Linked DNA regions of Arabidopsis thaliana. The protein of the gene in region 1 interacts with the protein of each later gene in a pairwise test. Each region holds a gene or a part of one and is shown on either strand. Other genes may lie near its edges. The genes, in order: AT1G19740 and AT3G59300.

Region 1 (3,935 bases):
GCCACCTCTCTCCACCGATTCTCCCTCGAGTAAGCACCAATCATAGCAGACCATGTAAACAGATTTCTCTCACGCATTGAATCAAACACCTTACGTGCATCAGCAATACACCCACATTTAGCATACATGCTCAACAGCTTCGTCTCCACAAAGACGTCAGGTTCAGTAAACAAACCAAACCGAGCATGAAGGATACGACCCAAATGGATAGAACCAGAATCAATACACGATTCCAACAATTTGAGGTAAGTGCTTCGTTTTACCTTGGAACCTTGTTGAAACAACGAGTCCAGAGCTTTCTCAGCTTCGAGCAAACTTCCGTTTCTACACAAGTAATCGAATTGCTCGTCGGGAATGATATTGGGTTCTTTCTTCTTGGTGAATGATAGGTTTTTCTTTCTGGATTTTGGATGAAGTTCAGGCGAATTCTCTACTTTAGCTGGAGTCTGATAATTCAAAAAAGTTTTGGGAAATGATGGTACGAAGAGCTTTTCCATTATCGACAGAACTGTTATTAACTTGAACACGCTCTAAAGTTTTCTCCTTTATCTCCGTTTCCTCTTTGAATTATCAACGAGAGTTCACAAGATTACAGAGTAAGCTCAGCGAAGAAGAAAGAAGATAAGAAAGCACGAAGAACCTCGGTAATGGGTTCGTTGGCAACAAAATATGAAACGTTTGGTGGATAAGAATTTCAACTTCCAATCAAATTATAACACGTGGAAACAGCTGCTCGCACAAAATTATTTTACACCTTTGCAAGGCCTCAGATTTCAGATATTCAAATTATGATATGCATGGAACAATTCATTCACAAGAGTCTATTTCACTGATCTGAAAATTCGACTGAGTGGTGGTCTATGGAGGTATAGAAAGAACACCTAAACATATGAATTAGGCAAAAGCCAAAGACCATATAAAAAAAGCATGGTTTTATGACAGTCAGAGATCAATAACTTCTACTTCATCTCCAATCTGCACTATTCCCGTTATGTCTAGCTAGTTTAAGATAAACAAATTAGACCTTATTATTTATGCCTCAAACTGATTTACGCAGTTGTAACACCAGTATGCTTCACTATTTTCGCCTGAAGATCTTCTTTATTCGCACCAACGAGCTTATCCACAACTTCGCCGGCTTTAATGAACACAAAGGTTGGCATTGCCTCCACACCAAACTCTTTAGCAACACTCTGTTAAACATCATCACAAGTATATAGAATATATCAGTGTAATTCTAAAGTCTAAGAGTGAGGAGATTAATTTGTTTGTAAAGAAAGTGTATTTGTTCACCTGAAGTTCATCAACATCCACCTTGAAGAAGATGGCACTTGACATGAACTTCTTGGCCAAATCGTTGAAAATTGGAGCAATCATGCGGCATGGTGGACACCATGAAGCAGTGAAATCAATCACAATCTGAAAACAATGAAATTATCACACCATCAGAATCCTAAATAACCCAATCCAAAATGATTTTTTTTACCAGAGGGGTGACTCTGAGCTACAATAAGGAAAAGAGGAACACAACAAAAGTCACAAAGATGAATCAATTAAAGAAAATACTCTAAAAGTTTACACATCAAAACGTAAGTTTCACTGATGATTCACTTGCCCTCACATCTAATGTTGTGATCTCCTTAACAATCCGTTTATTCCAACTCTACGTTAGCCGGAATCAAAACCTATACCATAACATGTGAAACCATAATGCTTTCTTTGACACTAGAAACAGTAACCCTAATCAAACAAAAACCTAATTCCCAAATCCAATACAACCAAAGAGAATTGCATAACAAAGGGGTGAGAATCGAGACCAGCTTGTTGGATTCTTTGGCTTTATCAAGTTGCACAGTCCATACATCGTTCGTGTGACAACCAATCACTTGACCCTCTTCTGCCGCCATTTCTCCCAAATCTGAGAATAAGCCAAAATCTCCGATCACCTTTTTTTCTTTCTTCCGTTCATCTTTGTAACCTATATATGACCAAGAGATATTGACACAATTACCCCTGCAAATTCATGGTTACTACGAAATGATATCCAAGTGGACCGGTGTCTCAAATGCATGTACTACACACTTACACACGAACCAAATGGCTCGTATATATTTTTATTTCTATTCTAAACAAATTTCTAGCCACAGGAATTATGAAATAAAAATATCTGATGAAATATATTTTCTCAAACAGATAAGGTTTAATTTTAAAGACGAAACAATTAAAATCTTAAATCAATTTCGCCGTTCACTTGTGAAACCTCTCCTCCTTCACTCTCTCTAATGGCGCTTCCAAGCACTGTCTCATCTCCTTCCTTCAAATCAACTCCACCTTATCTCTCCGCCTTCAACCCTAAACCTCTACATCTTCCAGCTACTTACCGGAGCATCAACCGTCGAAGCTGTAAACTCCTCTCCTTCCGTTGCTCATCCTCTTCCTTCTCCGAGAAACACCACAACAACGCGAATCCACCCAAATCAGATGACTTAGTCGAGCTTCCTCTATTTCCACTACCTCTCGTTCTCTTCCCAGGCGCAACAATCCCGCTTCAGATCTTCGAGTTTCGTTACCGAGTCATGATGCAAACGCTTCTCCAATCCGATCTCAGATTCGGCGTTGTCTACTCCGACGCTGTTTCAGGCTCCGCAGCTGGAATCGGATGCGTCGGAGAAATCGTGAAACACGAGCGTCTAGTCGACGATCGATTCTTCTTAATCTGTAAAGGTCAGGAACGATTCCGAGTCACCGATCTCGTCCGTACGAAACCTTACCTCGTCGCGAAAGTGACGTGGCTTGAAGATCGACCGTCCGGTGAAGAGAATCTGGACGAATTGGCGAATGAAGTTGAGGTTCTGATGAAAGAAGTGATTCGATTGTCGAATAGATTGAATGGGAAACCAGATAAGGAATCTCAGGATCTGAGGAAGAATCAGTTTCCGACTCCGTTCTCGTTCTTCGTCGGAAGCACGTTTGAAGGAGCTCCGATGGAGCAGCAAGCGTTACTGGAGCTTGAAGATACGGCGGCTAGGTTAAAGAGAGAGAGGGAGACGCTGAGGAATACACTCAATTATTTGACGGCAGCTTCTGCTGTGAAAGATGTGTTCCCATCGCAGCCATAGTTTAATCGGTATTTAGATATTTCTTCTGGTCTCCGTTTCGGTGTTTTCAGTTATTATTGGATACATTATATTTGATCAATGTGTAAAGTTTCAGAAACTTAGGTAATAGATAGTGGAGATGTGTTTCATAGGATCGTTTGGATTGATCAAGAAATGGGTTTTTACTTGATTGCCTCTATGATAAAAGATTACTCTAGTGATTCAAGTGTTGTTCTTAATACGAAGCGGCTCGAGTTGGCATTTACATTGAAAGCCTCTCAAGATGCTCTCTTTTGCTTATTCGGATCAATGCCAGACTCTGGATTGCCTCTATGTTCATAGGATTATATACAGTAGTAGGATTGATCAAGAAAAGGGTTTTACTTGATTGCACTAGTAGGGTTCTTGATACCAAAGAATGGCTTCTTGAGTTGGCATGTTCAATGAAAAGCATGTACATTTTCATCTAAATAAGTTTGCTTGATCAGAGTGTTTCAATGCCTCATAGCGTTTTAGTACTGAAACTGTTACACCCATGATGACTCGAAGAAACATGTCTAAAACTAGTATAGAATCTTTAGATGATAAGCTGAAATGTAAGATCCATGAAGGTTAGTAATTGTTACTTTGTCTTTTTGAGTTTATTAATAAGAGGATAAATTATGCACACTTGAGCTATGCCTCTGGACCACTTTGGCTGCCTCAGTTTCTGTGTGAAGACTGCTTAATTGATCTGGTATTAGGATGTGTGATTTGAATTAATGGGTCGCGTGTAGCTTCTTTATGTCTATGGACTATGGGTAGTGTAGTTTCTTATCATCAATATTTAAAAGATTG
Region 2 (5,454 bases), on another chromosome or scaffold:
CCATCCCATGGGCATGAACCAAAACCTTTCCATGGGAATGAACCAGAACTATCCCATGGGAATGAACCAAAACTATCCAATGGGAATGGGCATGAACATGAACATGGGCGGGTATGGACAAGGGTATCCGATGCAACCACAACAAGGAATGGGCATGGCTCCTCCTGGTGCACCACAAGGCATGACCGGTGCCTATAATCCAATGATGGGTCAAGGCGGTTACAACCCTCAGCAGCAGCAACCATATGGTGGAGGTTACCGGTAAGATTCGAGCCAATCACGGTTACCCATTTTACTTATCATGGTAAAAAGAGAAAACATCAAAGAACAGAACACAATCAGTTTGACCTGGATTTGTAAATTTTATGGTCGGTTCAGGTAAGTTGGGGTTTGGTCAGTCATATTATTGGATTAATACCTCAGCTTCATCAGTTATTTTGCTTTTTCTTTACAAAAATAATTCTCGACCAAATTGAGTTTTGTTAGGAATTTTGTAACGGGTAAAGAGAGAGACAGAGAGGCACAACCTTCACTCGGGGTTTGCTATATACATATGTATTTTGATATTATACGTCTTTTTGTAATACATTGTCCACTTCACGTAACAAATAACAATAAAAGAATTATGTCAATGTATATAGGTTTTGGTAACGTGAAGTATATAAATCACGGAAAAGTCAAAAGAAAACTGCAAAATATCTGAAAAGAAACGAATAAACGGTGGAATGATGACTTTATTTTTTTGGTAACAAAAACTAAATTGTAAAAAACATACCACGTAATGCACGTATTACCGATTGAAGTGAATAGTCCTCGGAAGAATTTTCATTCCGTATACCAATGTCTGAAAAAGAAGAAAAACTAAACAAGTACTAAACTGATGCAACTCACACAAGTCATAATTGTGTGAATTTTCACTTAGGTTCACTAAACCAGAGTTTATACCAAACAAAACCGTACTAAACTGATGTAACTCACACAAGTCACAATTGGTCGTCAATGAGTCAAGAGTTTTTTCATGAGCATTAAATAAAAGAATCAAAAGAATATCCATATATCCATCATTTTAATTCATTACAATTCATTTTTTTTCAGATAGAAAAAAGGATAACGAAAATTTCACAAAAGCATAACGAAAAATACCAACCACACCAACCTTTCCCATGATCTAAAAAGAAAGAAAAAAAAAAATCAGTATTGCCATGACGACAAAAAAAGGAACAAAAACAAAAAAATAAAAACAATAAAGAAAGCTGAAAGTTTCTGAAGTCTCTCTGCAACATTTAATAGATGCGACAGTAAACATAAGAACACCAAACAAAAACGTGATCAGCGACGGCAACGAAGACGGCGAAGAATACGGCGGACACGAGGATTCCCAACGATCAGATTCTTTGACATTCCACGGCGGCTTAGATATCAGCTTCTCCGATCCGCTCTCTCTGTTTGTGTAAATCATGGTGATCGCGGCTGCTTCCTCTTTTTCCCTCGGTACTTCGCCATTCTTCGAGATCTCTCTTCATTTTGTTTCATATGTATTGTTCATTGACTAATCTGAAGTTAGTGCATGGCTGACAGAGACGAATTAAAATTAACTTCTTTTTTTCATTAATGGCGAAAGCATTTGGGAGATTCTTTTTGGTTGACTTGTTTTGATATTTAATCGAATTGGTTTGTTTAGCTCGATCGAAATTTGTTTTTTGGTTCGTGGGTTATCTCTGTCGTCGAATTGTTTTCTTCAATCTTTATGCTTTTTGGCGTTTAGCCTGAAATTAGTTTCATTTTTCTCTGCTTTGAATCTAAACGAGACCTCAGACAATTATTTCTGTGTCAAGTTTTGTTTTTTTTTTAATTATTTTTTGTTTTTTTAGGAATTAAATGCTAATGTCATTGTTAGAGATCTTTAAATCTGATATTAGTAATTCTAAAGGTCTCTCCTTTTGCTTCTTCTTCCCTGAAAATTTCAATTTTTGTTTTTTTTTTGTTTTTCTGTTAAAATTTGGGAGCAGTGAACAATCTTGGTATGTATTTATCAGGTCCATCTCATTGCCATCAATCTTACACGGATGAGTTCTCTTCCTCCATACCTTACAAAAGAACCAGCAATGCAAGAAATCGTGTGTTTGATGGATGTGGCTCTGCTAATCTCTCTGTTTTAAGGTATTTGTCAATAATGAAGAAACGTGTGTCCATTGTTTTGATTTTGGAGTGAATTTGATTGAAGTGTAAATCTTATCATCTTTGTGATTGTCATGTAATGTGTTTTCCTCTATTCAGTTCCAGATGCAAGATTCCTTTTTTTGGATCAGCATTTCATGTATCATCCGGTGGACATGATCTCGGCCTCACGAAAGTTTCGGTTGCTGCTGATTATTCTGATTCGGTTCCTGATTCATCTTTCTATGGATATCATCCTCTAGAAGATTTGAAGCCGTCCAAAAGAGTCCAGGAGACAAAGCTCTCTGCTTCTGAAGTTGCAAGGACTACCGTCGAGGTTTATAGCCGGGAAACAACACAAACCATGACTTCATATGGACTAGAACAGTGTGGAGTTTTGCTATTTTTGAGTATGCGTGAACACGGTATTCATTTTTTACTTGTAGGCGAACAGCAGTGCTGTGCTGGTGTTTCCTGGAGCTATTCACTGTGAACCACACGATCATAATTCATGGTCCGAATTTAAGTATGTCATTGATGATTATGGAGGTTAGTCTTATATTATCGCTCAATATATTTTATATCTATCAATTACTTTCTTTCTCACCAGCTTCTTTTTTTTTTTTTCCAATTTAGATATCTTTTTTGAAATTCCTGATGATGAGAACATCTTAGAAGATCCTGGAGCTAGTAATCCAGTGGTAAGCGTGTCATTTTGATCAAGTGGAATGTCATGTATATGTCCATAGTTGATAACATTTCTTAGCTTGGTATAAGCACCATGTCCAACACCTATTAATCGAAGTTTCATCTTATACTTGTAGAAAGCCTTTTTTGGAATGGATGTCCCGCGATACGAAAACACACGGCACCATGAGGAATATAACATTTCAGACATTGGTAATCTTGACCAAATTATTTTTGATGACCATTATTTCGAGGTAGGTTGGAGCTGTTGTTGTAGTCTCTTAGTTTTCTTGCAAAGCATGCCAAGTCTCTTGTCTTATTAATGCTCTGATTACTTTGAAATATGAGTAGATTATGGATTCTGAAGCTAGAGATATTCCGATAGATTGGGGAATGCCTGACACCTCCAACGGTGTTCATCCTATTTACTTTGCCAAACACCTGTCGAAGGTTATATCCTATGCAATAGCATGATGAGAAATCTAATAAAAATGACATGCTTTAAACAATGTTCTCACTTGTTTCTGTCTATAAACTTGGAATTTTGCAACGGTTACCGAACCCTCTAGTCTCTTTAGTACTGCGTACAAGCATTATATTTGATACATACTGGTCTTGCATTGCATTGACTATGTAGTTGATTTGGGATCTCTTGTCATGCAGGCCATCAGCATGGACTATGACAGGAAAATGGACTATCCATCTAATGGTGTATCCATACTTGGATGCCTTAGGCCCGCTTTCCTTGACGAGGAATCTTATATAAGAAGATTATTTCTTTCGGAAGATAGAGATGACTATAGCTGGGAGGTTCAAGGTCCTTTCATATTTTCTAGTCCTCAAAATGCTGTTTTTGATTTTGTACCACCTCTTTTACATAGAACTTAGAGGAATCTCTGTACTATACACGTACACATTTCTGTTTGACATCCTGGATTCACCTCCCTTTGGATATTTATCTTCAGGTGATGATAATCCAATCACTAGTTCCAGACGTGACGAGAATGATATGAGTTCAAGTCTATATAGATTAGAGATTGTGGGAATAGAGCTTCTCTCCCTCTATGGAGCAGAGGTATGTTTTTGCCACCTGTCAGGTCATTTGGATGTTGAAAAAATTGCTTGAAACGATGGCTAACATATGTTGAGCTGTTTTGCGAACATTGACTTTCATACAAACTCTCTGTGTGTCATTTTTGTCTCCCACAGTCTCACCGTGAGTTGATCTAGATTCTTTGACTATTTTCAGTCTTCTATAAGTTTGCAAGATTTTCAAGATGCTGAACCAGACATCCTAGTGCACTCTACTTCTGCAATCATCGAGCGCTTCAACAACAGGGGGATTAACTCCAGCATTGCACTTAAAGCTCTCTGCAAAAAGAAGGGTCTTCATGCAGAGGTATTGTATCCATGTCTCTGAATATAATCTGGAAGTACAGTTCTGGTTTACATACCTACCACATTTTGTAACCCAGTTTTGCTACTTTGTGGTAATCTCATGCAGGAAGCTAACCTGATCAGTGTTGATAGTCTTGGTATGGATGTGAGAGTTTTCGCAGGTGCACAAGTCCAAACTCACCGTTTCCCTTTCAAAACCAGGGTGAGAGAAATCTCAAACTAAAACATCAAACAAATATACACCTTTTTCAACAAGAAAACAAAATCATAAGGACTCTGATATGATAATGCTTCTCTCATCATTGTTTATGACAGGCTACAACAGAAATGGCAGCAGAGAAGAAGATCCACCAGCTACTGTTCCCTCGTTCACGCAGAAGGAAGTTGAAGTGTCATGACGAGAGTTTGAAGGATGCATTTCGTTAAAAAAACCGTTGCTGATCAAAGTCACTAAACTAGAAAATGAGGAAACAGAGAAGAAGCTGTTTTGCCACTGGATCTGTCTAGTACTTATACGAGTTCTTTGGCCTGGCGATTGTGTACATAACGATGAGCTTTAAAGTGACTGTTCTAGAACTGTGTGGAGATTCAGCCTCTTACGTTTTAGTAGTAAGTAAACTAAATTAAACCCAAGAATAAAGAGAAGTTGATACAATTGAAGTAACTTCTATAATAGTCCAATGTTGTTCTTACAATGTAAATCTTCGTTTATCTTTACAATCAAGATCAAATAAAGCCCTTTTTCTCACTCTTTACAGTCACCAACGGTGTCCTTACTTTTCTCCACTCAAAAGATCCTTTATTTTTGCTGGATGCAATAATATAATATCACACAGTCGATGGAATTGACAAAAACCTATGTGGTTAGGTTCCCGGCTCATCATCCTCACCTAACAACTTCCTCTGCATAGCCGCCTCGTCGCCCACTTCTTCAAATCTGTGTTCCTCTTGATCTTTCTCCTTCCTGAGAAGCATCCAACATGGGAAAAATGGAGAAGAATAATAAGTTCATTGATGGATTGTTTATTGTACTTGAAAAATGATTAGAAAAGACTGTACATGGAGTATATGATCAGTCCAGTAGCTGTAGTAGCAAATGCCAAGAAGTAGAGCCAATCAACCTGGTATTAACATCATTAGCTGATTTCTACAGATAGAAAATGTAAGGGTTTCCTGATGTTTGATATTCAAAGTGAGCAGACCTTCTCGTGG

The links.
Region 2: the proteins of AT1G19740 (region 1) and AT3G59300 interact in a two-hybrid assay, tested with the Arabidopsis thaliana proteins (one large-scale study listed by BioGRID).

Annotation. Positions count from the first base shown.
Region 1 is NC_003070.9:6,822,114-6,826,048, forward strand, and holds AT1G19740 (ATP-dependent protease La (LON) domain protein), read left to right. Parts: upstream 1-2,208; 5' UTR 2,209-2,282; coding exon 2,283-3,119; 3' UTR 3,120-3,346; downstream 3,347-3,935. Other genes in the region: AT1G19720 (Pentatricopeptide repeat (PPR-like) superfamily protein), read right to left, coding at 1-497; ATTRX4 (Thioredoxin superfamily protein), read right to left, coding at 1,050-1,193, 1,294-1,419, 1,818-1,907.
Region 2 is NC_003074.8:21,917,210-21,922,663, forward strand, and holds AT3G59300 (Pentatricopeptide repeat (PPR) superfamily protein), read left to right. Parts: upstream 1-1,870; 5' UTR 1,871-1,878; coding exon 1,879-1,930; intron 1,931-2,036; coding exon 2,037-2,160; intron 2,161-2,277; coding exon 2,278-2,494; intron 2,495-2,603; coding exon 2,604-2,706; intron 2,707-2,793; coding exon 2,794-2,858; intron 2,859-2,981; coding exon 2,982-3,098; intron 3,099-3,195; coding exon 3,196-3,294; intron 3,295-3,507; coding exon 3,508-3,661; intron 3,662-3,809; coding exon 3,810-3,919; intron 3,920-4,093; coding exon 4,094-4,243; intron 4,244-4,348; coding exon 4,349-4,444; intron 4,445-4,536; exon of another isoform or gene 4,537-4,557; coding exon 4,558-4,668; downstream 4,669-5,454. Other genes in the region: AT3G59290 (ENTH/VHS family protein), read left to right, coding at 1-265; AT3G59310 (solute carrier family 35 protein (DUF914)), read right to left, coding at 5,107-5,206, 5,302-5,363, 5,445-5,454.